Linked DNA regions of Schizosaccharomyces pombe. Changing the gene in region 1 together with any one later gene gives a genetic interaction. Each region holds a gene or a part of one and is shown on either strand. Other genes may lie near its edges.

Region 1 (13,356 bases):
GGGGCTCCGCTTTTGCTTTTTGTGATGCAGTCTGTTGTCTGGAGTAATTTGGTTAACAAATTTTGAGGACAGATTTTTATCTAAAGAAATGAAAGATGTATAAAAAGATTCTAAAGATGAGCGCTGCGTTGCTGACAATTTATCATTTAATAACATCGATCGTATGGTGGACTTAATATAATGTTTCATAGCAAAATCGGAAGTCAACGATTTATGATAAGAGCTACCTTTTTCAGACAATGACTTGGAAAAAGGATGCGGTGTCGCTTGATCACTCATTATAGTTTTCTCTAAATATTTTATTGATGAAGGCAATTCCTCTTTATTTTGTGAACTGATGATGGAATTTTTAGGAATGCTAGTATTCCCTAACACAGTTGAGTCAGATTTCTTTACAGTTTCAAATGTCCAATCCTCAATGTCAGCATTTCCTTCAGCAATTGGTTCTTCAAAGGGCTTTAAAGTATTATTTATGGTTTCTTCCAATACACTTTGATCCGAATCATCAAATAATTTATTCTCCTTCTGAACAAGCAAAGGAATAATGTCTTTCACAGTTCCTGCGCTTTTGATGAATGGGTGTTGAAGGAGTTCTTTAGCTGACCATCGCATATTAGGATTGAGATCTAAGCAGCAGGACACAAAATCACGGAATGTTGGACTGAAATGATCATCTAGCTTTGGAGGCTCGGATTGAGGAATTTCAAAGATGACACGCATTGGATGCATTGTAGCGCGGGGCGGAATTCCGTTAGCCATTTCAATAGCCGTAATTCCAAGAGACCAAATGTCAGCAGCTAAACCATAACTTGTTTGTTGTATTACTTCCGGTGCCATCCAAAATGGCGTTCCAACAAACGTGTGTCTACGCGAAGCAGCGTTCGAAAGTTGAGCGGCAACTCCAAAGTCAGCAAGCTTTACGTTTCCGGTAGAGGAAGATAGTAGTATATTGGCGGCTTTGATATCTCTGTGGATTTTGTTTTGTCCATGAAGATAATTTAGCCCATAAAGGACCTCTCGAAGAATGATTGAAATTACTTGTTCATTCAACCTTCCCATTTTCAAAAGTCCCGAAACTGATCCTCCATCCATATGCTCCATCAAAATCCATAATGTGTATCCGTCAACAAAACAACCGTAATACTGAATTACATTGGAACTGTTGCAATTCGATAACATAAATACCTCTTGTTCGATGTCGGTAATGTCGTCAATACCTGTTTCTAAATCAATCTGCAACTGTAAGTTTTTTGTGATACTAAAGAAGAGTAAAAATTAATTAGTCTTACCTGTTTAATAGCGATAATGTCGCCAGACACATTTTCACGTGCTTTCCAGACAACCCCAAATGAACCTGATCCTAATTTCCGTAGCAGAGTATAAGAATTAGCATTGAGAGGATACATTTCATCAATATTTTGACTGCTCAAATCTGAGGTTGAGCCTACTTTCGGTTTCGTTTTACAAGCACAAGCTAGATGCACCACGAAGTACTTTGTTTATTACTTAGAGGATTATAATGAGCTACTCCGAGACGCCTATTCCAGTAAACTTAACATTACCAACTTGTTACGAAGTATATATAATTAGACTAGTTTATTATAAAGTATCGAGTTTTATGTCTGAATCTACCAAAGAGACAATAGAAGTTTTATACGAAATAGGAACATTGCTTGGAACTGAACTTGATAAAACAACGCTTTCACTCTGCATCAGTCTTTGTGAAAACAACGTACACCCAGAAGCAATAGCTCAAATAATTCGGGAAATACGTATGGCTCAGGAACAAACTGTTGACACAGAACCAAGTTAATGGCAAGAAGTTTAATCTCAATAGTTGACCTCGGGGTTTAGTATTTCTTTTATCTAATGTCTTCTTTAAACAGTGTTCTACCTTCAAATGCATGCGCAGAGATTATTGAAGGGAAAGACAAGGTTCACAATGTAGTTATTTTAATGCATGGACTTGGAGATTCTCACAAGAGTTTTGCAAATATGGCAAAGAACGTTCCGTTGCCCAACACTAGTTATATTTCCTTACGTGGACCATATCGATTACCATTAGATTTTGAAAATCCTGGAGGCAATTGGATGTGGGGAGAGGATGTCCATTTTGATCAAAACGGGGAACTGCAATCTGAAGCCGATTTCTCTAAAAGTTTTACGATGATTTCAAATTTAATTGGCAATCTACTCTCTTACGGTATATTATCTTCTAGAATATTTTTTTTCGGGTTTGGTCAAGGAGCTATGGTTGCTTTATATAGTTGTTATAAATTGTCTACTAAATACCAGCTTGGAGGGATATTTTCCTTTGGAGGTACTCTACCGCTATCCATAACTTTGCCCAATCATCCATTTCATGTTCCAGTGTATTTGTTTGAAAAGCGATTGCATTGTTCATGCAGCGAATATGAAGAATCGCGATTACGTAAAACATTTAAACCATTTCACCTCACATGTTGGAATCGTGATGATAAAACTGACATGCCTTCATCCCCTAGAGAATGGTATACATTCGTTCAATCTATTAGTAAACATTTGTATATTCACAACACGTTGTTTGAAGATGCAATTCCTCTTACATCTTTTTAGAATTGATTTATTTAAGTTAACATTTGTTCACAATAAAGTTAATATTCATTTGGGCATAGATATAACAATAACTCCTCTAGCCATTATGTGATTAAAATTAGTACGTTTACCTTTTGATCATTAAGATTTTCAATCGACAAGATAACTAAGATCCGGAAGCTTATCAACAATTCTATTAATTAGTTGATTTTGGTCAACTGTTTTTATATTTCCACGCCCTGCTCTCTCATTATTAAGAAACGAAGTATTGATCGATTGAATAACAGCCGGAGTGTCTTTAGGAGCTGACAATGAAGTAGAAGGTGAACTAAAATTCTGAAAAATTAGAGTATTTGGCTCAACTTGAGACTCTTCACTTACATCATCAACGGAAGCAGAAGCTAAATTCGATGAGTTTTTCGAGGTATCTTGGGAACTGACCCATGAACCCCATTCAAAATTATCAGAGGTTGGATCCGGGGAAAGAGACGTTGATGAATTTTTTTTCTTCGTTTCTCTAATTTTTTCTTCAGAGTCAAGTTTAGCGATTGATGAATGTTCTTCGACTTCATCAACTTTTTTACGATCCAAACTTAGTGGTGATTTTGGAACAACTTCATCCTCTTTATTTATTGAAATTGTAGAACAACTGTTGCTTTCCCTCTCAATCAATTTGACTGGGGAAGAAAGGAAAGTATTTGCAGATAATTTGTGATCCTGTTTAACAGCAACTGTATTATTTAAAAGAGCCGTAGAAGAAGAATAATCCTTGGGAATTTCATTCGATGATAAATTAGAAAAATCAAGTATATCTGAAGGAACATTTATACTGGAAATCTTGGTCGTAGAAAAATTAGATAAAGGAGACTGTTCCGGTAACAAAATATTTTTGTCATTGATGGGCGGTGTGACAGGTGAATTGGTATAGCTTGCTGTTTTCCTTTTCTGCTTCTGATAAGCTGTTGACCAACAAAAAAGCACATTGCTTTTTCGATTTACATTAGACCGTTCTTGGTTCCATAAAGTCATATGTTCTTTAAGTAAACGACTAATGGTTCCTTGTTTTAGTTCTCCTAAACTTTTCTCATTGTATCCTAAGCGGATTAATTGTCTAAAATTGGTTTCCGAGGTAGCTGTAATACCTATATAATCTTTGGATGCCAATGAAATCCGTTTAGGAGGCTTGACAACGCCAAATGTGTAATCCAACTTTTCATTAATATCTTTCAAATTAAATGTGTCAAGATTGAGAGCATTTTCTTTCCAGACTGATGCCTCCATTGAAAAACTGACATCGTTAGTAATTGAGGGAATTGCTGAATTCGAGTTGGATATATTTTCACTACCCCATGCATTATGAGGATTAGAGGCGTTCGAAAAACTAACAGAGTTCAGCAAATCATCCATATAAATCACATTCCAGTTCTTTAAGTTGTAGATTCTCAATTTAATAATATATGAGTGGATAAAAAAAACGTAGGTGCCATCAACTTCGGGTTAAAAAGAAAACAAAAAGAGCCTTAACTATACTTCTTTTATAAAAGGAACCTTTTTAGAGTATTAGTATAAATGCTCAAGATGAGTTGAAAGCGGTTCGGCTAGGGTAAGCGACTTAAGCCACCACATCGTGTGCAACGCAAGTAGGCAACTTAAATCCGTTCAACGTATTTAGTGTGAAATTAAAAATAAAATAAACTCAATTAAATTTCCGGAAGAAGAATAAATTTTATAAGTAATCATTTTAAAATAGGACAGAGTTTTTTAACAAATTTTAAGCTAGTAAACAATTAATCTAATACTCTGGCGAAAGTTGCTAGCTTTATTAAAGAGGAATCTCATATGGACTGAAGCATCGTGCAAATTTTTGAAAATTACATTTGGTAAATTAAAACCTAGATTATTTCATCTAAATAATATGGCTTAAAGTGCGCATAAATATGGATGCTGGTTTCAAATCATTTGAATATTATGTCTTGTGCAAAAAGCTCTTTAAAAAAATTACAGAAGTGCAAATGTACCACATATTTCAAGTTAAAATGAACCCTTCTAGGACTTCTAACAATTTTAGTAAATTTTCTCACTAAATCAATTATAATCTACATGAAATGAATCTAACATCGCACTCTTTATCGTTAAAGAATGTTTCATGGTAGCCAAATATCTTTCTTTTTTTAATTTTCCTAAAATGAAATTCTAGTATGGTTGAATTTATTACCGATCTGCATTTTATCGAGTATTATTGAAAATATTTCCATTTTTTAATTGTGCGCTAAGTATATAAGTCGCGTTATTAGAAAAATTATGATGTACTCGGTTAATTGAGCTCTAAAAAAAAAACAAAGTTATTAGTGTACTTCGCTTAAATAAGAATCTTATCTTCACATTCATACACAACTCACATCACGTTACGGAACTTCCGCTCCGCTCGTTTTTTATATTAACTACCAAAGACTATAATTTCATTCCTTTAAGCCTTCAGGAATGTCCATTCCTAAACAACTACCATGCATGGTACGTGCTCTGTATGCATGGCCAGGTGAACGTGAAGGTTCGTAACATTTAAAGATGCTGTTAAGTAACGTCGCAATTATTGATGTAAAGTTTAAAAAATATATATTAATGTGTTTTCAGGTGATTTAAAATTTACAGAAGGAGATTTAATAGAATGCTTAAGCATAGGTGATGGAAAATGGTGGATTGGCAGACATATCAATACTAATACACAAGGGATATTTCCTAGCAACTTTGTTCACTGTTTAGATATTCCCACGGTACGACCTGGCAGTTCTATGTCAAGAACTAGCGCTTCTAGCTTTAGATATTCTTCTCCTCAAAAAAGCTCTATAGACACCCCAATAACTTCATCTGATCAAGGTCTAACTCCTGATCTCGTTGGAAGCTCAAATGCTTTGAATAAACCAACCCGAGAGAGTGACTCACTAAAACACCAAAAAAGTCACCCCATGCTCAATTCGCTAGGATCAAGTCTGTCACTTAAGAAAAGCGTATCTAGACCGCCATCTTCAATGTCTCGTACCAACTTAGATGTCTCTTCCAGATGGGACAATACAGCCGATAACGACTCTCAGATTGATGCCCAAGATTTAAGTAGATCTACACCTTCCCCTTTAAGAAGTGCTATGGAAAATGTTCTTCAATCGTTAAATGCAATGGGCAAAAAAAGTTTTAGTCGAGCGAATTCCCCTCTTTTAAGACTTACGAAAAGCACTACAACTAGCAAAGAAACGGACTTCATTCCTGTCCCTCCTGCACATGGGTCCACAAGTATGACTTCTCGATCCAAGCTGGATGATTCAACAGATAATTCGTCAAAACCAAGAACAAGTTTGCAACCAGGAGAATCACCTATGAAGTCTTCAAGAGATATTTCTAGAAAACCTTCCATGGCTTCATCAGTTTTATCTCCGTCTGATTATTTTCCGCAGCACAGGCGTTTTCAGAGTGCTCCCGCACCTATTCCCAGACCCGTTTCAACATTGATACCACTAACTCAAGTTCGGACCACCGCGTCGAATGTTATAAAGCCAAGACCGCAAACAACGGAGCGACCCTCAACTGCTCAATCGTTTAGAAAAGGTGGTGGATTTTTAAAAAAAACTTTCAAAAAGCTTTTGCGTCGTGGATCGTCAAAACGTAAGCCCAGTCTCCAACCAACTCCTCCGGTAAGTTATCCGGCGCACAATGTTCCTCAAAAAGGTGTTCGTCCTGCATCGCCTCATACATTAAAATCAGTAAAAGATGATTTGAAACGTACAAAGACATACACGAAAGCCGAGTTTGCGGCGAAACGGGAAGAAATCTTCAATAAGCTTTCGATGCCGGTATATGAACCATTGAAGGATCTCAGTGAATGTATTGGGAATGTTTTAGCCGACGGCGAGCCAGTGCAGTTCTCTGTAGGTACTAATATTCATAACATGAATTTTAGTGCTATTGATAAACAAATAAGGTCAATTATTCCACAACGTGTCCAGGTCAGTCCTGCTGTACTTGCAAAAAATTATTTAGCTCCAGGACAAACGACTGCGCTCGCTCAAATGAGAGCCGTCTTTATATATATTTCTGAACGTATTACGTTCACTAATCAAACTTTGGACAATGATGAATTACGCACAAGTACACAAGTAATTTCCGAAGGACAGGGAACTCCTTTTGAAGTTGCACTGTTGGTTAAAGAAATGTTGCAAGCACTAGATTTATGGTGTGAGGTTATCGAAGGATATCTTAAATCACCAGATGACATCTATTATACCAGAGATATTAATATAAATCATGCTTGGAATGTTGTTACATTTGACAATGAGGTTCGTCTAATTGATGCTAGTTTTGCCAGTCCAACACACCCACAGCAGGCCTTGAAATCCAGCAGCTCCAATGATTTTTATTTTTTAATGAAACCAAACGAGTGTATATTTACTCACGTACCTGAGAATCCGGACCAGCAGTTTATAATGCCAGATTTGTCTATGCCTATAGTAATGGCATTACCTTGGGTATCGTCTGTGTATTTTACTTTAGGATTGAAGTTGCGTAAATTCAATACCAGTATTCTACATTTAAATGACCTTGAAGTTTTACAAATCGAATTTTTAGCTCCAAAGGATATTGAATGCGTTGCTGAAGTTGATGCTCTATCTGCTTTAGCACCTACTGCTGATGTTTCACAGTGTTATAAATACACGTTAACACAGGCTTTCTGGGAAACTCCGGATATTCGTGTTATGAGAGTTAAAGCTGTTATGCCTGCTAATAATCGTGCTGCGGTGCTAAGGATATACGCTGGTCGCTTAGGAGTCTCTAGTCCCGTGAGGACTGCACCTCATCCTATGGCAATGTCTCTTCCATTTGTACATCATGGCAAAAATAAAGCTCTAGAGTTTGTGACTCGTCATCCTGTACCACATTGTCCATCGGTTGATTTGTATATTAATTCCCCCCAATGTGGTACATTGCATTCTGGTGTTGAATACAAATTTAATGTTTCGGCCTATGCCTGCCAGCCATCTACCTCCATTAGCAATACCAGATTAGCAATACAGACCCCGACGGGAAACATTGTGCGTTTAAGAGAAGAACGATCTGGAAATGGCGTTATTTTTTTCAGCCTTTCCTTAACAATTAATGAAACAGGAGAATACAGAGCTTTAATTTTGGCTGAAAAGATAGGAAGATGGGTAGTCTATGCAACCTGGCAGGCGGTTTAAATAATTTCAAATCTTGCGACTTTATCCTATAAATTTTCCTATAAATAATGTCTGTTCTGTGTAATATTGAAGGTTGATGTTTACAACTAAGTCATTATTCATTTAATGTTTTTAATATATATCTATTACTATTGGAATCGTGATGTCCAAGCTTAACTGTATTCCCTTTGTTTCTTAATTTTAATGATTATAATAATGAGAAAGTTTTAACTATTAGATATGGCATCAGAAAAGCTAACAGTATCTTACAAAAAAAATTTTTTTATTAAAATCTTGCAAAAAATGAGAATTGTACTACGAATTCAAAAGGTCACTGACCATACTTTGATTGCAGCATCACTTCCAGTACTTAAAAGCTCATTTTCAGAAACCCATTCAACTTGGGTAGCTCCCAATGAGTGAGCATTTTTCATCGCAATATATTTCATGGGTCGTTCTACTGAATAAATGTGAATGTTGGTGTCTAATGAAGCGGTCGCTAAATGAGTAGATTTTGCATTCCACGACATTCCTAGAATACGGCCAGTGTGAAACGCCCAGCGAGAAGTAATAACTTCCCGAGAATTGGCGTCATAAAGTACAACCTTCCCTGAGGCATCACCACATGCAAGATACTTTCCATCCGGAGAGTAAGCTAAGCATGTAATCGGTGCTGTTGAATCTTTGCATTGAGCTACTTCACAAAGCTCACCTTTTTCAAGGGTATGGATGTATACACAACAGTCCTAAAAAAGTCAATAATTATATGGAAATTAAAATATGGTATCATACCTCCCCTCCAACGCAAAATTCACTTTTTAAGGGATGCGAAGCAACTGCGCTAGGCTGATAAATAGTCTTGGCTGTAGAAACACCAGTAAGACTACGGAGGACTTGGATATCCGAAACCGTTACCAAAATCAAACAGTCTTCAACCGAGCATACGCCAATAGGTTGGTAGCCAGTTGGAAAAACATTATCTTTCGCGAAACACCCTTGCTTGATATCGATTACCCTTAACGTGTCATCCATGCCAATGGTGATAACATGGTCATCAGCCATTATCATTTGCATGACTTGATTGGTATGACTTTCACCAACCAAAGGGAATGCTTTCTGTTTGCCGATATCCCATGAAAGAACAGTACCATCATATGAGGCAGTATAAAAATGGGTAGCATCAGGTGAAAGTGTAGCGGCAGTGATAGAGCGTTGGTGTCCGTAAATTGTATCAATTACCTTACAGTCCGAAGGATTTAGATATGTTAAGTTTCCCTTTGAGTTAACAACTATTATTAGGTCTTTAGTTGGCCAAACTGTTCCAACTAATTGCTTCTTGTCCGACGAAAGCCATTCGCGAATTAGGGAGCCGGTATTAGCATCCCATATTTTGCAACTGTAACCCGCAGAAGATGTGACAAATTGAGATGAATCTGGAGACCAAGAAATAGAGAAAATGGACCCCTTATGAGCATCAATTTCATAGACCTGATCTCCTGTTTTCCCGTCGAAAACATAAACCTTACCGTCGGCTCCAGCTGAAGCAAATCTTTCATCGTTAGGAGAGTAACGGACATCATAAACGAATTTGGAGTGAACGCGTAAACTTCGGTTGAATCTATAAGGAGTACCGTGAAAAAAATTGATGGAATTATCATCAGATGCAGTAGCAGCACGGAACGGTCTACTCTTGCGCAAAGAAACAGCATTCACTACGCTCGAATGTCCAAAAATCTGTAACCGTTAACATTTTAAGGAAGTTGGAGACTAATAAAACCCTTACTTCACCAACAGAATTACCAGAGTCAGCGGTGAACGCGTGTCCATATCTGTTAAAAGTAAGATTAGCAAGAGTCAACAAATATTGGAATTTTTGAAATTATGAGTAAATCCAATAATTTAACACATCCTTCGAAAACAATAGAAATCACTTACCGCTCTTTACCCTCACCAACAGCTATTATTCTCTGACTGTCTCCGTCTTTTCATCAATTAGCATATTGAAACTTGAACAGGCTTACCCCAGTCTAAATCAGTAATTCGTCCGCTAATAGCAGTAACTTGGTTCTTTAAAATTTTATCTTCTCCAGCACAATCCCATATGCGGACGTTACCTTGATTGTCTATAGTTGATCATTAGTAACGTTTAAAAATAAAAACTTAAGAAATAATAGCAATAATTAGCATTCGTACCGCCAGAAGCTACATAATATCCAGAAGGGCTAAATCGTGCTACAGTTGTAGGAGCAGTATGCTCATTATATTGAAAGCAGTTTTCCTGTTTCTCAATTTCACGAATTATTATCGCTTTGTTAGCCTAAAAACTATTTAGTAAATGTTCTTTAATCGACCAATTCATACGGATTCGACAAACTTACGGGATAAACAATCCTTTCACCTTTAAAATCAGTGCCAATTTTACAAGGCTGTGAAGGTTTTGTTGAAGGAACTGGCGCCCAAGTTGATTTTAACTGAGAAGACATTGCTCTGTTTTTAATTTATTGTAAGTAGCGAAGATGTGGTTCTATGCAGATGGAGCGTGCTACTAGGAGATATTTGACAATGAAACGAGCAACAGATTACCATATTAAAGAGGCGTATACTTTAGCAGTACATGTCATTGGAATATATGATTTATATAGGGATTAATTTTAATACTACCGTAGAAATCACTTTTTGCAACAATACACAGAAGAACGTTTTTATACTAATGCGGTCAAATAATAACCTAAAACAGTACAATATGACTTTAACGAACATGAATATCAAAATGAAAATTGATGAGTAATTAAAGAAGTAGATATCATGAAAAAAATTTAAGCAAAATTAAAATATCAGTTACTTTGCTTCTTTGAATTTTTCTTACTACGGTTAAGTTCCTTGAGCTTTTTATAATGAGAATTAGGTCGAATGGTTGAAGCTGAAGTAGTAGCAACAGCTCGTCTTGATACATCCTTCTGCAATTGCTCATACTGAGTTTTAAAACCGTCACGAACTCCTTTGTAAAACTCTTTTAAGGATTTAATAGGGTTTGTAATCAAAGTAAAGCCTGAAGGTTGCTTTTCTATTATTGATGGTAGCGGAGCGAAGCCAAGTTTACTTCGAACAACGGGATTTTTTAGAATATAACCTTGCACTATATTAAACAGACTGCTGGGTATCCAATACATAAATATTGCCTATTTGATCTTTGGTTAGTTATTCTTCTAAGATAAAGGCTTAAAACAGATTTGACTATTTTGAAAATTCACGTACGGCTGGAAGTTTAGCAGTTAAGAGAGGGCTTAAAAGACAGCACAAAAAGAAAAAAGTTCTCCAGTTGGTAGAATTCCCTATAGTAGATGCAGTATTTGCACGATTCATCTGCATTCCAGAAAACATAAGTCCGGCATTAATAATGGGAAGAATGCAATAAGGATCAGGTATTGACAAATCTTTAAACCATGCAAGTCCTCCAGTGGTAAAACCGTCTACCGACAAACGAGACATCTTTCTAATTGCATAAAAAAAACTAAAGAAAACGGCACTCTGGGTCAAAGGAAGAATAAATATAGCAAAAGGATTAACATTGTGCTTTAAATATATGCCTCGCAAGGCAATGCTATGTTGATTTAAAGCAAGCTGATCATTATCCAGTTTTGCTGTTTTAATCGCCTCTAGTTCTTTTTTCATCTCAGGCTGTATAACGGACAGCTTCGTGCTATTACGAAATGAAGCTATCATAACTGGAGTAAGGGCCAAACGAACCCCCAAAGTTGTGAGTATGATAGAAACCCACCAAGGAGCTCCTGCATATACATTAATCGTGTAAGCAGTATTTTGGATTAGAGCATAAGGCCACCACGATGGGTTGAACCCAGAAGTAGCTGTACTAACTTCAGCGAGTACATTGGTAGAAGAGGGTCGAAATTGAAACCCCAATCTTTTTGATAGAATAGTTTTAGATTGTAATCTTTTTCTCAGAAAACTAGAAGTGGAGTTAAAATGGGGGCTTCCAGCGCATCGCCTAAATTGGTCAATTACCAAGCATTCAATATATCAAGTTTTTATAGTTTTTTTGTAAACACTTACGTTGAAGGTCTAATTAGAAAATGTAACATTGCTTCAACTAATAGTTTATAATTCGAGATTAACTAGTCTTCAAAAATAGATTAGTCCATATGATAATATATATTATACGATCGGGAGAAGTTAAGTCGTCCTTCATATTCTTATACGGGTGGATTTAAGTGGACAAGGTGCTTGTGTTAAATCAATGATATACATTTATTGTTTGGATTTTTATTTTTTTATTTTTTTTTTTTTATTTGATAATATTTCGCCCAAACGAACGTGTTGCATTTCATTAAGTTTCTGGATTTTTCATGGTATGTGCATATTATTACGACAGTTTGACTATTTAGAACCAAATAAATGTTAGCAAAATAACAACAAAAGAAATACATAGAGAGAATTGAATTTTTTATAAATTATTCGAATTTTGAATACCCTTTAGTAGAAATGGGGTAATCGGGATGTGCTAAAAATATACTGAAATACTTAAACATTCCATAAATAATTTTTTTAAGCCATTTTAATTGAATAAATATTTGCGACTGAGGTTTTAGAGATAAGTGATTTAAATTCTGCATTGAAAAAAAAGCAAAAATTTATCAGTATAAGTGAGCCTTCCATTACATTCTCTTAGCTACCGTTAATTAAAATTTGAAAATGAAAAAAAATATATATATATATATTAAAAATTTAGTGTTTATAAAACGTGAGCTACCATCTGAACTCAAACGCTAAAAATATGACAAACATTTCATAATATGTCTTTAAGCAATCAATCTCATGAGACTTATAAATCGCAATTTTTAAATTAAAATTTTATAATCACTTTACTGTGGATGAACTGTAATTGCCTTCTTTTGTAACATGCTACCGTTTATTTTTTATGTACTACTGCATTATTAAATTTGAATAAACCGACGTATCAAAGCTTCAGTTATGTATAATTTTGAGCTTAATTACAAGTTTAGTTTTTATTTTTATATGAAATAGCTATAACTTGAAAGGTACGATTATAGGATTGGAGATAGTAAAGCCAATTATCAGAGCCAACTCCTGCCCTTAAAATAGTAACAAATAGTAGAGATTAATAAATTGAAAAATAGAAGGTCAGAAAACTAACTTATTAAATGAAATCCATAATACAATATTCTTATGAATAGCTCAACTTGAAAGTTGAGATCTTTAGGGTAGGGTTTGAAGCAGTCACATTTTAATTTGTCCTGAACAATTATGAAGCATAAGTTTTCTAGCACCACCTTTCTCCAACAAAAGTAAAAATGGCATCTGTGGTTACCAAGAAGTCTAAAAAGAGCGGAGACACTATCAACGCCAAGCTTGCACTTACCATGAAGAGTGGCAAGTATGTCTTGGGTTACAAGTCTACTTTGAAGACCCTCCGCTCTGGTAAGGCTAAGCTCATTTTGATTGCCGGTAACTGCCCTCCTCTTCGCAAGTCAGAGCTTGAGTACTATGCCATGCTTTCTAAGGCAAATGTTCACCATTACGCTGGCACTAAGTAAGTTTC
Region 2 (11,021 bases), on another chromosome or scaffold:
ATTTCTTCTCCGAATGCTTCCATGTCTACTTGACGCTTATGATATCTAGTAGAAGTTTCGGAGGAATCGATAGGAGGAAGTAAAATAAAGGTATATGTGGAGGATACCTGCTTAATCATTGACAAAAGAGTCATCATATTCTCGCGAGCTACTTGGTAAATCTTTGAATCTTTACCATATTTCTCATACAAAGCCTAAGGTGTTAAAAAAAAAGACATAAAGAAAACCATACCTCTAATCCGACTAATTGGCCGATAACAATACTGGTATCGGACCGCTCTTGTTGCGATTTTGAGCTTAAAAATTCGACAAGGATTTTTAGAGCGTATATTTCAGAAAGGAAAACTCTATCTTGCTTGACAGATATGTCAAACATAGAAGCTTTATCCTCACCAAAAAGCTGCTCGTAATCTTCTAAAGATTTATAGGGAGTAGTAGTTATTTGTGAATAAACGCCAGTTGAATCATGAATTGATATAACTCCGCCAATGTCATTTAAATATATATCAGTAGTTTTTCCATTATCTAAAGAATCAAGCTGACGCTCATATCGACACATTAAACTGGCAAATGCATTACTGGAAGGACAAGAAGAGATGCGAAAAGCAGGGTTCAGAGTATCAAACAGTTCAGACTCCGCCAATCCGGCAATTGTCAAAAAAGTATTAGACTTTTCTGCATAAAAAAAAGAAGAAAGCTCAGAATGACTGTGGAGCATTTCATTAATAATTTTTCTAGCACCGCTATGTGATTTCAGCTTGTGGAACCGTGATACGCCCAGTTTATGAGCAAATACAAGCCTGGAATCTGAAGGAGAAATTGAAGGGACTTCATTTTCATTACCAGAGAGACCTGACATATAAACTGAAGCCTCAGTATATGAAACACCTAAAACTGGTTAATAAACGCAATCTAAAACTATTTAGGACGAACCTGAGGCCAAAGCTAATGTACATCCACCGATAAAGAAAATAAAATATCTAAGGAGACTCATACGTGTTTATTTCGCAAGGATGGTGGAGGGAAGCACTTCTGTAGTCCTTTTGTGGTAGATCGCAGCTCCTTGGGTTACAACCAACGAAGTGTAATTGCCATTACTCTTCTGTGTTAATACCTGGTACGTTTAGTCTTTAAAAATTTGATTTAAAAGAGGATGTCGTGAATAATAGTTTCTCTCATTTTATTAAATAAAACGACTCGTATTTCGTTTATTACTTTTTGTATCTAATGTATAAAACTTCATCTTTTTATACTACTGGTCGATAAGACGATTTTTTAACAATCCAATGCTATAAACTAAATTCTTTTATTAAACTTTTGCACCTTTACGTTGAATCTTGTCTCAGGACTTCTTTTTTCCATCCTACTTTATAGTCCTTGATTTGTTGTAGTGATGCTGATATTCCTGCTGATTTGCAAAGATTAAACAAATCAAATTAAAAATTGCTACTTGAAATTAACAAAATCATAGCTATCAACTATAAAAGCCATCTATTAAGAGTGCAATAACGACGACATTTAAACCATGCTTGTTGATGAGTGCAAACATTTTGCTCTCAGCAACAAGGAGACCGATGAAGCATAATTAAAAGAGAACCAACTACTGTTCAATTTATACTAATAAATATGCAAAAATTTAAATGATATTAAAAAAAACATGTAGATAACGAACGCTGTTTACAAGGATTCATTATTGATTTCAAGTGTCTTAAAATTCGTTAACCGGGGAGTGCAGCGTAATGCAAATCCTTTAATCACTTGTAACGTTTAATGACAAGTTCGTTATGTGACTTTTTATTGCACCCGAACAATTCTTTCAACAACACACTTTTCCAATGGCAGACAAAGGCTGTGAAGCTGCTCAGTCTAAGGTGAGTTGAACTTTTGTCAATTGGTTTCTAATAATTGAAGGATTCTTCCGCACCTGGTTCTGGTGAGCCTAGGCCTAAAACCGAGAAAGAATGTGAGTTGTTGAAATACAAATTCATATGCATCACCTTATCATTTCTAACATCTATATAGTAGAGCGTGAACGCCAAAAGGCGGCTAAGCTTGAAAAGTATCATGCAAAGCTGGCGGCCAAGAAGGCGAAGGAGGTATGCTTAATTTTTGGAGTATTCAGTATTTTGAATTTTCATTTGTCATTTGTGAATGACTTTATACCTTTATATTTTCAATTGGAATACTACCAGCTAGATAGCATCAACGTTACTAATCATTTTATTAGGAGGCAAGAAAGCCTAAACTTGATAAGAAGGCTAAGATTGCTTCACCAGTTGCCGAGTATGTCGAAAAGACCACTCCTGGTGAGAAAAAAGTCCTTCAAGACTTGGACTCTCCTGCTTTGAAGTCCTATAATCCCAAAGCTGTTGAGTCTGCTTGGTATGACTGGTGGGTCAAGTCTGGTTTCTTTGAACCCGAGTTTGGTCCTGATGGTAAACCTAAGAAAGAGGGCGTATTTGTTATTACATCTCCTCCTCCCAATGTCACTGGTGCTTTGCATATTGGCCATGCTCTTACGATTGCTATTCAAGATTCGTTAGCTCGGTGGAACAGAATGCTTGGTAAAACAGTTTTGTTTCTGGGTGGTTTCGATCATGCTGGTTTAAGTACCCAATCTGTTGTTGAAAAGAAGCTTTGGTACACGCAGAAGAAGACTCGCCATGATTATCCTCGTGATAAATTTGTTGACATTGTTTGGGAATGGAAAGAAGAATACCATAACCGTATAAAAAACCAAATGTCTCGACTTGGTGGTTCTTTTGATTGGACTCGTGAAGCCTTTACTATGGATGAAAATCTTAGTCGTGCCGTTGTTGAAACCTTTGTTCGTTTGCATGAGGAAAATATTATCTACCGTGCTAATCGTCTCGTGAATTGGTGTACTGCTTTACAAACAACTTTATCAAACCTTGAGGTAGAAAACGTTGACGTTCCTGGCCGTACTTTGCTCAAGGTCCCTGGATATGATGAACCCGTCGAAGTGGGTGTATTGACTTCCATCGCTTATGCCGTTGAAGGTTCTGACGAACGAATTGTTATTGCTACTACACGTCCAGAAACACTTCTCGGAGATACTGCTGTTGCTGTTCATCCCCAGGATCCTCGTTATAAGCACCTACACGGTAAATTTGTAAAACATCCCTTCTGTAACCGTTCAATTCCTATCATCTGTGACGACATAATCGTTGATATGGAATTTGGTACCGGTGCTGTTAAAATCACTCCAGCTCATGATCCTAACGATTATGAAGTTGGAAAGCGTCATAATTTGGAGTTCATTAATATTTTCACTGACGATGGTCTTCTCAATGAAAATTGTGGAGAATTTGCTGGCATGAAGCGTTTTACTGCTCGTGTTAAGGTTGTTGAACGACTCAAGGAGCTCGGCTTATTTGTTGGTACCAAGGAAAATCCAATGGTAATTCCACTTTGTGGGAAGACTTCGGATATTATTGAGCCAGTCATGAAGCCTCAATGGTGGGTGAATCAAAAAGAGATGGCTGCAGCCGCAGCTGAAGTTGTAAAGTCTGGTGAAATCGAAATTGCTCCTGATATGTCTCGCCGAGAATTCATTCGCTGGATGGAAAATATCCAAGACTGGTGCATTTCTCGTCAATTATGGTGGGGTCATCGTATCCCAGCCTATTTTGTAAATTTAGCTGACGAACCTTCTCAAGATCGAAGTGAAGGCCGTTATTGGGTTACTGGTCGTACTTTGGAACAAGCAGAAGAGAAAGCTAAAGCTGCTTTTCCTGGAAAGTCTTTCACACTAGAACAGGATGAAGACGTTCTTGATACTTGGTTCTCCTCCGGATTGTGGCCTTTTTCTACCCTTGGCTGGCCAAAGGATACTAGCGATTATGAAAATTTCTATCCTACTACTCTGATGGAAACAGGTTGGGATATTCTTTTCTTCTGGATTGCTCGTATGGTAATGTTGGGTCTCAAATTAACCGGAAAGATTCCCTTTAAACGTGTATTTTGTCATGCACTCGTTCGTGATGCTCAAGGCCGCAAAATGTCTAAATCATTGGGAAATGTTGTGGATCCTATAGATGTCATTGAGGGTATTTCTCTACAAGCATTACATGATAAGCTTTTGGTTGGCAATCTCGACAGCAGAGAGGTCGAAAAAGCTAAAAAGGGTCAACGGTTGAGCTATCCCAAGGGTATACCTCAATGTGGAACTGACGCTTTGCGTTTTACCCTCTGTTCCTTGACTACTGGTGGTCGTGATCTCAACCTTGATATCCTTCGTGTTGAAGGATATCGTAAATTCTGTAACAAGTTGTACAATGCTACAAAATTTGCTTTGGGTCGTCTAGGTTCTAATTTCGTTCCTAACAAGACTGCCGATCTTACTGGTAATGAATCACTTGTAGAAAAGTGGATTTTCCACCGCTTGAACATCGCAGCAGCCGCTATGAACAAAAACATGGAAGAAATGAACTTCCTTCAAGCTACTTCAGCTGTTCACCAATTTTGGTTGTATGAACTTTGTGATGTTTACATTGAGAACTCAAAATACCTTCTAAGTGATGGTACAGAGGTACAACAAGAATCTGCTAAGCAAACCCTCTATACTGTCCTTGACAACGCTCTTCGTTTAATGCATCCTTTTATGCCATACGTTACTGAAGAGATGTGGCAGAGACTTCCTCGTCGTCCTGGAGACAAAACTCAGACTATCGTTAAAGCTGCTTTCCCAGTTGAAAGGGTAGACTATTCTAACGAGATAGCTGCTAAATATTACGAGTCTATCATTACTGTCGTTCACTCTACTCGTTCAATGATGGCTGAAAATGGAATCAAATCAGATGCTGTGGTATACATTCATCCTGATGAAGAACATTCCAAACTCATTACTTCGGAATCTGCCAGTATTCAAAGTCTTATCAAGAAATGCAAAACTTTAAGCATCGTTGATAATACTTTTGATTCGGACAAATGCGTTAAAAACGAGGTTTTAGAAGGAAGCACTATCTTTTTGGAACGAAACAACTAGATTAACAATCGAAAACTTGTATAGTAATTGAAATTACTATAAATCCCCTACATTGTTTCATTTTAAAATATCGGTCATAGAAGAAATATTTACAAGATAAATTTAGTTGTATCATTAAGGATCATTAAAAATGTAAAGTTTTGATTTCACACAATTAGCAATTCGTGAAATGATCTTGGTAGCTATGAATGTAACAGCTCCCATGGTTTTCCAAGCAGTGAAGGCTACGATACTCCAAAATATATACTTCATGTAGCCATTATTAATAAAACGCATGCCATCGAATACCTGAATCAGAACAATGGCTAAAATTAAGTTGCTTACAGCCCAAACTAGCACATAACGAGTACGAATGTCTTGGTAGTGATCCTCATAGGATTGTGGCTTCCGATAGCAATGGTCCTGAACATCGTGATAAACCGAAGTATCATTAGAAGAACTGAAATTTTTTAAAGAAGAGTTATATACAGAATTCAACACGTTGGCTTTTGGAATACTGATTGTAGTATAGCCTTCGTCGTTCATTGAACAATGGGTAATACCTGTGTCAAAATTAAATTCTTGCTGGTTATCATCCTTCGAAATTGAAGCATCATCAAGATGACAAAGTGCATATATTTGCTCAGTATAAATGCGAGTTGGCATCAGCAGAATGTATTGCACAATACAAGTAAAGATAAAAAAAGGATCCATACAAATTAAAGAAACGAAAGCATAACATGCTAGAATTAATAAAGAAGAGAAAATTAAGGTCGTGAAATAATTGTTGCCTAAAACAATTTCAGAATTATCTGAGTTGTGTAATGGTATCAATGAAATATAAAAAACACAAAAAACGAAATAAATCATAATAATGGAAAACAATGCAGTACTAATGAACAGTAAAACTCGACAGCTAAACAATTAGTTAATATGAGAAATTTTTAAAACAAACATTCATACCTCCGTGGTCGATTGCCCATTGCTAGCATAAACTGTGAAAAAATTAAACAAATTAGAATATATTCGAAAACCAGAAATAAAGGTCGGGCCCAATTACCATACGGATTCAATGAGCTGTATGAAGTGGCATTGCATACAAAGTAGAAGGCCAAAAAGAAATTTGCCATTGAGAAAAAATTCACCAACTTCTCAATTGCAAAGACGAGCGATTGAACGGTGAGCAAAAGGAATCGAAAGAACTTGTGCCGGGTAGTCCATAAAGAAAAAAAATCAACTATAACATAGACAGCAAGACTAAAGCTACTGTTAATTTCAGATTTTTTAGACTCTAGTATTCCAGCCATTGAATTGGGCGCTTCAATAGTAGCACAAGCTTCAGGTACATATTGCAAATGCCATTTTGCATCTTTTCGGGTGATTACTTTCCAGAAAAGGAGTTGTTCTTGTGCCAAAAAAGCATTGGATTGTAAGATACCTCTCCTAGGAATTTCATATTGGTCTTGCTCGAAATAATCGGCTAGTGGTCCAGGGTTTGGATATGAATCTTGCAAAGCGACGTATCGAAATCCATAAATTGCGTTAAGCGCATTTGAAATATAACCCATGCAGCTGTCGTACGGTAAGCGAAGATTGTTATGGATCATTTGGTCAAAATGTTGAGAAGCAATGAATGGATTTAACAGTCTAAAGCCAAACTTTCCTGTATCAATCGAAGTTTTACCACACATTCCTCCAATAGTGGAATCAACATCAAAAGCTTTCCACGCATGATAAATAGATGTTGGGCCAAGCCTTGCACCGTTACGAACAAAGAGACAAACCTTGGGACGAGCAAGCGATGCTATACCATTTAAAAACCAGCGATGCGAGTTATAAGTGCCTAGACGACGGTCCTTAACACAGAGTAACATCTGCATTGGAACGTTTCCGTCACCAGTCGCTGTTGTAAGATTGAGTTTCTCATCAACGTTGATGGTACTTGTGAATTCATACATATGGGATAAAGTTCTTTTTCCGTTTACTCTCCCTTTAGCAATGTGAGGTTGATACACTCCTATAGATGCAAGCAAGTCCAAGACGTTTTGGTGAACAGTGTTACGGCCATCAATTACGACACATACTAAAACCTTTTCCCAACTCTCATTTCCCCATACCCGCGACTTAGACCGTGAGCAAAGATGTTTTAAATTATTCATGATACTAGAAAGAGAAATGGCAAAAGATGCCAAATCCTCATCGCTAAGTGTTAGACAAACAGCAATTTGAATGTCGCGACCCGTGGACCATGTTCGTAGTTGAAGCCCATTATTATTCATATCTTCTGGTTGGCAGGTAATGGCCGAATACCGCAGGAAACTTGCTTCATCGGGGTTTTTTTGCATAAATGGACCAAGCATGCCACGTAAGTCTATTGGCGTTGGGCAATCAATAGTCAGGCTTCCACATAATAATGGAACATCTTTGGAATAGTGCGAACTTGATGAATTCAAGCGATCAATCGAGGTGTATGACTGACTGTGCGTCATTGGTTCATTGACGGGCGAAGCAGAGATTTCTGAATTAAAGTCCAGATACTCATTCTTGGAGGAATTTTCATAACCGTCGTCTGAGTTACTATTCACAGTATGGGTTGGTTGAAGAGGAACGCTAAAAACTCCAGTTTTGTGAAGTGGAGGGATAGGTGGCTCGTGTTCATCAAATGAACGCTCCTCAAAATCGTAAACTGAATCTGTGTAAGAAAAAGCATCTTCTTCCAAGGTCCTTAACGTCTTCATATACTCGACTTTTTGATCGTCAGGAGATTTTATCTCATCATACTCATCGTAACAAGGAAAGCTTTTAGAAGAACTCGAACTGAGGGTCGAACTAGAATATGCTGTTTCTTCATCTACACTACTGTGACTGACCCAGTTTCGTAAATCCTGCGAATCTTGAGTGTCCTTAGGTTGCAAGAAGGACCGGTGTTTAGCATTAATATAGCTGGGATTCTGAAAACTCATGTTGATGCTTTCAAAAATTTCCACAAAGCAAGAAATGAATAAAAGTGTTTGGGTTGTTTGATATTATAAATTTTCCAGATAGCGATAATTCCTTGCTTTTAGAGGGCTTAAGACGATCAATACCAAAGCCTCAGAACAAGCAGAATGATGGACCACAGCTTGCTTTTATTCCATTCGAAATTGTTACTGATTTCATTGTTTACAAATTTAGAAACGATGTTTGTTTACGAAGCAGATGCCATAGTAACGAGGTAGCCATGCAACGCGTGCGTAGCCTATGAGAACGTACAGGAGATGCAGCGCCATAATTTGTACTGCGTACTCCGTAAAATGAGAATAATGAGCAAAAGGGTATAGTATTTTTTCAACGTTCAAAAGTAACGAACAGTCAAAGATGCTAGATGGGGCAAGGAAACGACTAAAAAATTGATGTCAGAATTTCTTGACACAATAAACATGAATTAAAATTCTTTACTCTAATCAAAGAATGAAATTAATGATTTTTAAATTCAACTCAACTGCTGATGTTTTGGAAATTAGTTAAGGTAGGCAGGTGTGTGTAGCACGCACGTTACGTGATGACATTTACTTGTGTCAAACACAACAAACCAATCTTACCTTTCCCGTAACGCGATTCAGACATTGCAAGACTGCAACTATCGAGATAAAGCAGTCATTTCTGTTGCATTTATGAGTTTTTAACCATGGATGTAATGAATGTGCCTGTCGACTCAGAACGCGACAATCCTGGTAAGTTTTTACATGCTTCTTCTGCGAAACATCATTTCGAGAAACAATCTTGGTTTATGAGGTTCGTTTTTAACAAATGCTAATATTATAGGCGACAAAGTTGAGACACAATCTGATAAAAACCATTTACCAAAAGCGTCACCGTCTCAATCCCAGTCACCTGTAAACACCTCTTTGCACAATGGTGATGGAAAAGATAATGGCGTAGCTACTGAACCTGTTGAAAACAAACAGATTTTATCGGAAAGAAGTGTAACTCGCGATGATTACGAAAAAGGAAAAACCATAGTTTCCTCGCTCGCCTTATCATCGATTTCTGGTAAAGATGGCTCCATTTCTTCACAAAATGCAGAAGGATTAAGTTCTTCTTCTAATCGTCCTTTGGATGTGAACGATGCGCTTTCCTATCTTGAGTTAGTAAAATATTATTTTTCTGAACGCCGAGAAATTTACAATCGATTTTTGGAAATTATGCGCGATTTCAAATCTCAGGCGCTTGACACCTTGGGAGTTATTAATCGTGTATCAGAGTTGTTTAACGGTTACCCTCAACTTATTGAAGGCTTTAACACGTTTCTTCCATCCGGTTACAAAATAGAAGTACAATTGGACTCTTCAAACACTAGTGTTGTACGTGTAGGTACTCCTATGCACCCACTTCCCCAGCAGGGCGTCCAAAGTACATTGCCCGTGGCTCCATCTAATGAAGATCAGCGAACAATGGAATCCACTAGTCCTACTGACTCTCAACCTCAGCCATCTGCTCCAAATTTAGTTTCCAGTACTGAAAACGAGAAGCCTCGGGTAGATTTTAACTATGCGATTGCTTATATGAACAAAGTTAAGGCTCGTTATCCACCAAATTCCGACACGTACATGGAATTTTTAGGTGTTTTGCGCACTTATCAGAAAGCACAAAAGTCGATTTTTGAAGTGCGTGCGAGGGTCGCTGAAATTTTTAAAGATTCACCAGATTTGTTGGAGGAGTTTAAACTTTTTCTTCCTGATAATGTTGATTCAACTGAGCCATCCACCCCTAATGTTCAGAAATCTCCAAACCGTCTTCCTCCGGTTGGGAATTTCAGTCTTCCCCCTTCTGCACCTGTACGTGAAAAAAGAAATCGACCGGCTCATTCTGCCCAAATCAGTAGATCGATATCTAAAACCTCGAGGATGTATCGACAAACTGCTGAAGAGCCATTGAACTCTTATTCCCTTCATGTATATCCGCAAAAAATCACTGCTCCCACGTCCCCTTATGCTGCTACCCAGGAAGAATTACTAGCCTTCACAACGATTAGACAGCATTTACCTGACACTTTAGCCTTTCACAAGTTCCTTGAGCTTCTTCATCTTTATCGGGAAAAGTTATTGGATAAAACAGAATTATTAAATTCTTTTTCAAAACTTGTTAGAAATGATAATTTGACATTGTGGTTTTCCGAATTTATTAGGTGGAGTGATAACCCAATACTTGTAAAAAACGAACCGGTGGACGAACGTGTTTATTTACCAGAAACTTTTGAGTGCATTTCACTGACTTATCGCAAACTTCCGGATTCCTGGAAACAGGACAAATGCTCAGGTCGTGATGATTTGGACAATTCTGTTTTGAATGACGATTATATTTCTGTAGCTCCCAAACCATCCCATGTCAAAAATATAATGCATCATGAAAATCAGTACCTACAGGCATTGCAACTAGTAGAAGACGAACGGTATGATTACGATAGAGTTTTGAATACTACCGAGTCTGCTATAAAAATACTTGCAAACTTTTGTGAGCCGACGATTCACGAGCATTTAGAAACCGCCCTTCAAGAACTCGAGCGATCAAAACGAATAATTAAGAACGCCCTTATAATCGTTTATGGCAAAGAGCATGCAAATTTGGCTCTTGACACTTTATTTAAAAAATTACCCACTGCGGCTCCTGTACTTCTGAAACGTATTAAAACCAAAGATCAAGAATGGAGACGAAGCAAGCGAGAGTGGAGTAAAATTTGGCGGCAAATCGAAAAGAAAAATGCTCAAGCAGCATTTGACGACAGATATTGCAGAATAGAAGGGAGAGACCGTAGAGGATTATCTTATAGCCGTATTCTTCGCGATATTGATGACATTTATCAACGACAAAAGCATCGGATCGATGGGGCCAAGTTGGGGTTTCAGTTTACCCAAGTTTTATGTGATAGTCTCATATTTTTGAATATTTTGCGGCTAAGTGATGCTCAGTTAACAAACTCTTCTTTTTATTCATACGCTGACAAGGGTCGAATTAGTGCTGTTTTGAAAGCTTTATTATCGCAATTTTTTGGCAT

The links.
Region 2: of cyk3 (region 1) and chs2, changing one suppresses a phenotype caused by changing the other (phenotypic suppression), as found in Schizosaccharomyces pombe (one study listed by BioGRID).

The regions. Positions count from the first base shown.
Region 1 is NC_003424.3:1,973,807-1,987,162, reverse strand, and holds cyk3 (cytokinesis protein Cyk3), read left to right. Parts: upstream 1-5,013; 5' UTR 5,014-5,055; coding exon 5,056-5,122; exon of another isoform or gene 5,123-5,205; coding exon 5,206-7,799; 3' UTR 7,800-8,101; coding exon of another isoform or gene 8,102-8,524; 3' UTR 8,525-8,570; coding exon of another isoform or gene 8,571-9,512; 3' UTR 9,513-9,561; coding exon of another isoform or gene 9,562-9,607; 3' UTR 9,608-9,713; coding exon of another isoform or gene 9,714-9,759; 3' UTR 9,760-9,799; coding exon of another isoform or gene 9,800-9,901; 3' UTR 9,902-9,971; coding exon of another isoform or gene 9,972-10,095; 3' UTR 10,096-10,156; coding exon of another isoform or gene 10,157-10,261; 3' UTR 10,262-10,409; downstream 10,410-13,356. Other genes in the region: PAK-like GC kinase Sid1, read right to left, coding at 1-1,233, 1,290-1,406; putative mitotic spindle organizing protein Mzt1, read left to right, coding at 1,619-1,813; SPOM_SPAC9G1.08C (phospholipase), read left to right, coding at 1,870-2,595; SPOM_SPAC9G1.07 (Schizosaccharomyces specific protein), read right to left, coding at 2,725-2,910, 2,956-3,981; actin cortical patch component Aip1, read right to left, coding at 8,102-8,524, 8,571-9,512, 9,562-9,607, 9,714-9,759, 9,800-9,901, 9,972-10,095, 10,157-10,261; translocase Oxa101, read right to left, coding at 10,613-10,957, 11,034-11,784, 11,850-11,878; rpl3001 (60S ribosomal protein eL30), read left to right, coding at 13,109-13,347. UniProt on the Schizosaccharomyces pombe protein: Involved in cytokinesis.
Region 2 is NC_003423.3:1,092,287-1,103,307, reverse strand, and holds chs2 (chitin synthase-like protein 2), read right to left. Parts: upstream 8,088-11,021; 5' UTR 7,951-8,087; coding exon 5,951-7,950; intron 5,904-5,950; coding exon 5,123-5,903; 3' UTR 5,080-5,122; downstream 1-5,079. Other genes in the region: SPOM_SPBC1709.03 (uncharacterized protein), read right to left, coding at 1-194, 233-888, 934-994; vrs1 (valine--tRNA (Val) ligase Vrs1/Vas1), read left to right, coding at 1,836-1,871, 1,912-1,963, 2,023-2,096, 2,228-5,008; SIN3 family co-repressor, Clr6 and Rpd3L histone deacetylase complex subunit Pst3, read left to right, coding at 8,655-8,700, 8,792-11,021. UniProt on the Schizosaccharomyces pombe protein: Plays a role in septum formation. Has no chitin synthase activity.